Bombyx mori: one gene and its partner. The protein of the gene in region 1 interacts with the protein of each later gene in a pairwise test. Links are inferred from orthologs where the notes say so. Each region holds a gene or a part of one and is shown on either strand. Other genes may lie near its edges. The genes, in order: phospholipid scramblase 1 and mitochondrial matrix protein p33.

What was found.
Region 2: the proteins of phospholipid scramblase 1 (region 1) and mitochondrial matrix protein p33 interact in a two-hybrid assay, tested with the Caenorhabditis elegans proteins (2 studies listed by BioGRID). The link is inferred for Bombyx mori from reciprocal best matches to the Caenorhabditis elegans genes scrm-1 and cri-3.

The regions. Positions count from the first base shown.
Region 1 is NC_085111.1:8,952,931-8,956,771, forward strand, and holds part of phospholipid scramblase 1, read right to left. Parts: intron 2,253-3,841; coding exon 2,091-2,252; intron 368-2,090; coding exon 326-367; 3' UTR 1-325.
Region 2 is NC_085114.1:15,032,325-15,035,269, reverse strand, and holds part of mitochondrial matrix protein p33, read left to right. Parts: intron 1-389; coding exon 390-540; intron 541-742; coding exon 743-939; intron 940-2,263; coding exon 2,264-2,352; intron 2,353-2,945.

The DNA of each region.
Region 1 (3,841 bases):
TAAAACCCGTATATTAGGCCCTTACAGCTTGCATAAGGTCATTGTCTGACAAAGATTATCCATAATTTAATGCAGCATTCCCGAAAATTATAACGCAAAGTAATCATTTATTCTGACTGTACGTAGTAATCATTAATAAGACTAACATAAGAAACGAACAGATAAGAGTTTTGTTAATATCTTAATATTAGAAAAACATGTAAAATCGTATCAAAACTTAAATCTCATAGTTGGAAGTTGCAGCAGTGGTAATCAATAAGGCCTTGGCCCTTCTTTTTTGAATATAAAAAAAAAAGTTCAGTTGTGTTGAAGAAATTTGAATTCATCAGTTGCGATTGTTGTTGCCTTTTTCAAAGAACATAAAATCCTGTAAAGATAATATTTAATTAATGTATATTCCTATTGAATATTCGGAATTTCGATTGAAAATTGATTGCAGCATTGGTATTCTTGATATGTATGCCTGTAACTAATGAAGTTGACTGAAACATTCTGGCACAATAAGTAAGAGATTATGTGAAGAACCTACGGCTTGCACATTTTAATTTTTATTTATTAGGGTTGTGGGATTGCTTTTGGTCCAGAGCCCTAACCCATAGACACAAGCCATTGAGTTTCTCGCCGGATCTTCTCAGCGGATCGCGATTCAGATCCAGTTGTAGATTCTGCGAAGCACTGCTCTTGTTAGGGCTCGTGTAAGCAAATTCTCCCAGGGTGAACCTGTGAGCTCACCTACCCGTCCGCGTGTAGTTACGAGTAACCCATTAGGCTACCAGCGAATAGACAGGGGAAGAAAGGTCCAGAGTATTTTCCAGCTTCACAAGCATGGGTTCTCATTTTTTCAACTAAATGGCAGTTTTCGTGTTTTTTCATTTTTTTTATTGCCCTTGTGGGCAGACGAGCATACGGCCCACCTGATGGTGAATAGTTACCGTCGCCCATGGACTTCAGCAATGCCAGGGGCAGAGCCAAGCCGCTGCCTACCGCTTAATACACTCCACAAGTCTCGTTTGAAGAAGGACATGTCATGGCGCTCGGGAAAAACCGTGGAGGGGAGCTCATTCCATAGCCGGATGGTACGTGGCACGAAAGACCTCTGGAAACGCACTGTGGATGACCGCAGTGGCTCCAGGTAGTATGGATGAACTCTACTCCGGTGGCGGGCGGTGCGATGGTAAAAACGAGATGCCGGTATCATCTCGAACAATTCCTCAGAGCACTCCCCATGGAACATACGGTACAAAAAAAAGAGGGAACCGAAGTCCTTCCGCAGACCCAGAGGTTCCAAAAATGTGATGTAATGTCTATTCATTTCGGTATCAACATAACACTCCCTGTAGACCGTGAGTTCATCTACCCTACTAAACTAATATAGAAAAACAATAGAATATGGAGTATATTGTACTTATCTCTGTACTCACTGTAAGGGACTGTGAGCGAAACGGTAATACTACTTAAAATTGGGAACCAGTTGGCATTATGAATGATATCGTAACTTCCGATTATTAAAAATATGGAACCATGACAGTAAAGTAATAATAAAAATAAATTATTTTATAGGTGCCTATTATAGTCTTTTTTAAACGGTATAAGATTGAACGGATGAGGTAACTGTTCTATCAAGATTTTATTTTTATTGCTTAGATAGTTGGATGAACTCACGGACCGGACCACCTGATGTGATTACGTGGTTATCGGAGCCCACCCGTGCGGACTCTCAAGACGTCCTACCACCAGTAATTACACAAATTATAATTTTGCGCGTTTTGATTTTTATTACACGACGTTATTCCTTCAGCGTGGAAGTCAATCGTGAACATTGTTAAGTACGTACTTCATTGGAAAAATTGGTACCTGCCAGCGTGATTCGAACACCGATGCATCGCTACATAAGAATGCACCGGACGTCTTATCTTTTAGGCACGACGATTTCAAATTTTCCATTCAATTTCCACGTCACGTCTATAGAATCCGATAACTAATTATAATTAGCGATCCTGAGCTCACATGTCATAATTCAGCCGATAATATAAAAAAAGTGCTTCAGTAATAGTTTTGTCGTTAGCAAAATTAAGAAAAAACATAGTTACTATGAGAAAACATGCTCCAAGGAGTACAGCTTTGATTTTGACGTCCAGGTCCATCGGGAAACTTATCCCAAAATTGTCGGCATCGGTGAAGGCTTCGCGTGCAAATCCAGACCACGACTTCGTGATTTTGCCAACTTTCGTTTCTCCATCCTTCGAATACACCTGGAAAATTTTTTGTGTTCGAGACTTAATTATTTAATCTCATTCATTACAAAATATATTTTTGAAAGTTTTTATGTTGGATTCTAGGAGCAACAAAGAAGAGGCAGTGTCATCAAATATTAAGCAATTTCATAGGTATATTGGTAAAGCCATCAAACAAAATAAATATTCAATTATGTTACTATTTTAATTCAGCTCGTCAAAAATTCGCTACAATGGACACAATGAATTGCAATTGATGTACAGGGGAATGTTTTTGTTCTCAGATAGTCAATCCTAGTTACGCTTAGTGCTCGTGAACAAAATTAATTTACTGTCTGTCACCAAACGGTTAATTTGGACGATTAGCTATGGTATTATAGGGATCGCTGCAAAATTGCGCTTTCACCGCGACGTAAACAGTCATTGTCACCAATAACAATAGTCTCAAGGAATTTCAGACTTATAAACAGTTTATTTGGATTAAAATGCTTTTTCGTTTATGTTATCATAACATTTATTCTTATTCAGGTTCGCGAAATATTTCACCTTGTATTTTTAATTCATGTTATGTCATAGCAGTTTCGTTAACTACCACAATTAGACAAGGCCACTCCCGTATTATTGATGTACTTGTAGTGCTACAAAGAGAGAATCGTTTTCGTGTTTTACCCAATTCCCAGTCCAACGTGTGATTATTATTTAAAATGAAATGACAATGACTTTTAATAGAGAGTTTAACAGAAAGTTTAACAACGAGACTTTTAACACACATATGTAGATGGGCAAATTAGTTCACTTACAATTCATAAGAATGACGAAACCTGATCCATTTTTTAATTGTATTACATTATCTGCTATACTAATTTTCAAACCGGAATGTACCTGCTTGACATACTTCATGACAAAAATAGACAAAACAATGATACTGATCAGTGCGTCCTTACAGTATAGTCTAGTCAACAAGTTCAAAAACGTGTTAAATAGACATAAAGCTCCTAAAAATATGTACGATAGCTCATTGGATGCGGAATGATGTCTACAAAAATGTTTTTTAAGGGCTTATTAGCACATAAAAAATTGCGATTGTTATAAACAAAATAAGATTTAAAAAAAAAGGAATTTGGTTTTTCCTTAATTATTTCTAAAATAATGATATTTAAGGAATTTTGAAAAAAGATGCTGAAAGAGGAGGAAATTTCCAATAAAAAAGTCCCAACTTCCGGAATTCTATCTCTATTATTTATAAAAAAAAATTAACGCTGAAAATAGCGCTCCGCGAGGTCGTTACGCCATAGGCGCGCCGTCTAAAAAGCCGGTATATCACCTAAAATATTTTTTTTATAGTATTAAATAACAATTTAAAAATTTGAATAAATTATGGTGTAATCTAAACACTTGAACGAAAAAAACCTCGGTGAAAAAAAAATTTTATATCGATTTTTAAAAAATTTACACCATTGTTAATTAACTAACTTTTTTCCAATCTCTGTTTTTATAAATTACGGTATAAAAGCTACAATAATTCATCTATAAATTTTTCCCTTCGTGGAGCTCTTATCATTTAAGTACTTAATAAAGTTAAGCAAAAAAATTTTTTTAATCTTTAT
Region 2 (2,945 bases), on another chromosome or scaffold:
TTATAACAGATTTTGACTGTATATCCAAACTCGCTATCTGTAGTACTATTCTCTACTCTAAAAATGTTAACATCCTACTAACTTATATTCTGACAGGCACAATGAAATATAGTGTTGAATAGTATAGTTGGATTTTCTCTGTTGATCTGCAGTTATTACTATTCATCATTATAATCAAGAGTAATGTAAATCTAATGTAGTTGTTGTAGTTAATAAAATAGTAGTGAAATGAGAGAAATTAAAAAAATACCTTGTTTGTGTATTATAAACTTGTTGTTTGTTGATTAAAATTCATTACCTACTTATTGAATGTTTTACAGTATTGTAGAATAAATTGCACTTATTTTCATTCTCAATGTACATAATAAAACCAATTTATATAAATTCAGGTGAAAGAGAACTGGTAGAGTTCCTGACAGAAGAAATAGTTGCTGAACGCAAAGCACAGAAGGTCAAGTCTCTCCCTGCTGAAGTCGAAGGCTTTACTGTAAAGGGAGACGGTGCTGAAGTTGTTTTAACAAAGCAGCTTAAAGATGAAACGTAAGTAATGAAATCTTGAGAAGGAGAAATATTGAATAATTTTTTTTTGGGGAAACAGTTGTTAATAAATGTTGCCAAATACTTATTTTACTGCCCAGCAATCTTCGTCAATTTGTTGAAATTCGAAAAACTAAAGAAACAAGCCCACAGAAATATCATTAAAAATAGTGAAATTTTAAGTCTAACTATATATTTTTTTCAGAATTCGTGTCACATTCAACGTTAATCACACTGTGGACTCTGATGACTTTGAGGGTGATGTTCAGACTGAGAAGCAAGAGTTCTCTGAGATGCGTTCCAAACCTCAGTTTGAGGTTGACCTAGTCCGAGGAGACACCACCCTTGGTTTCACCTGCTCCTATCTTCAAGATCCACCTGCAGCTTCTGCTGATGAATATAGTGAGTATACATAAACTTAATTATTTCTTGATTCTGATTAATCAAATGGGTCTAAAGATTGAGTACTAAGAAGTCAAAATAGTCTGTTTACCATATCGACGCTTGAAAGACAAACGTGACTAAGCGACAATAACTGCTTTGTACATAAATGATAGGTAATAACCATATTCAATGCACAAAAAAAAATATTTCTAGGTCTATTAAAAGCATTCCAATCCTACAGCTACTAGCTAGATTCTACTACAGCTAGATTCATTAAAATAAATTTTGTTTTCAAATATTTCAACTTTAAATTAGTCTACTGTAAAGTTCACGCACTGTCGCTTAGTCACATTTGCCTTTCAAGTGTCGATATACAATTTACAAAGAAAAAAGTTTATTTCAGTTTAGAATTTGGTGATAGTGCAAGAATGTGTCAAGACTCACCCTCCCCTTTCCTTTTTTCCCTTTTTGTTTCTGCCATAATACAATTAATATATAACCTCAATCTTAAATATCAAGGTGTCATCATTATTCACTTTTGATCTGTGTATAGGGGTATCAAAATTGCTGTTGTATTAGATGAAGTACTAAAGGTGTGAAGGTAGCAAGAATCCAGTAGATCTGAGCAGCATGATGTCGATGTTTTTTTTTTATTGCTTTGATGGGTGGACGATATCACAGCCCACGTGGTGTTAAGTGGTTACTGGAGCCCATAGACATCTACAACGTAAATGCGTCACCCACCTTGAGATATAAGTTCTAAGGTCTCAAGTATATATTCAAACCGAAACGCATTACTGCTTCACGGCAGAAATAGGCAGGGTAGTGGTACCTACCCGTGATGATTCACAAGAGGTCCTACCACCAGTAATAATGCAAATTATAATTTTGCGGGTTTGATTTTTTGGGGGTTGTTTTGGACCTTCAGGAGGCCTTTATCTAACAGTAGTTGTCTGTAAATTTGATTATTGAAAATAAAATGAAAATATATTAAAATAGTCTATGTAAGCAAAAATAATTCAATTATTGACATTGTTAGCATTGAATCAACACATTATAGACAAAAAAGATCAGAGCTTTTTGCAAATATAAATTATTTGGTATCACATACAAAATACCAGATTATAATTTTTATAGTTCTATAGGGGCAAAAATGATTGAAAATTTCCACTTCACGCAAAAGATATGTTAAGTCGTAAGATTTGTTCAGATCCGGCCATGCTGTAAGCTTTGGTCATAGTAGTTCTCAGAGGCTAGTAGGCTAATGTAATTGCAGTTAATCAACTCAACTTCAACGGAAACTAAGTACTATAATTTAACTACTTTTAAATTGTGTTTTCAGACGATGTGTTCGGCATTGACGAAATAACCCTATATAAGGGTGAATGGAATGACAAAGTGTATGCAGTCGCTGGTGATGTGCTCGATGGGGTATGTTATCTATTCATCTTTATTTAGTATGTAAGATACAGCATCTTGTCGGTTTTATATAATACTAGCCGTACTCGCCCGCTTCGCTTGGGATTTAAAATTAACATTATTATTTATTGTCATTATTATTAGGGAGTCCAACACTCATATAAATATAAGTACATGTATTTTCTACATGGATACTAAGTTTCAAGTCAATCGGCATGGCTCAGTAGTTATAACGGAACATCCGTAAAAACCACTAGATTGATATATTAGTATAGATATTAGTTTCACATATTATTATATCAGCTCAAAAAGATCTGAAAGCCAACCTCTCTATGTGTATTTTCTAGTAAGTAGCTTACAAGTTGCTTAGAGAGATTTAATTTTAGTTTCAAGCCACTTGGACACAAATTTTATGTAAAATTAAACAACACATAAGGCACTTAGTTTAATTGTTTTTTCAAATAAATTTGATAGGACCTCATTGTGTGATCAACAGCATACCAAAAGGAATCTTGTAAATCCCAAGAAATATACCTACGTTTTATTGTAATGAATCATAAATTGCTTTTTGCATTTTCTTATTTGCAGCTTAATCGAGGTCAGTT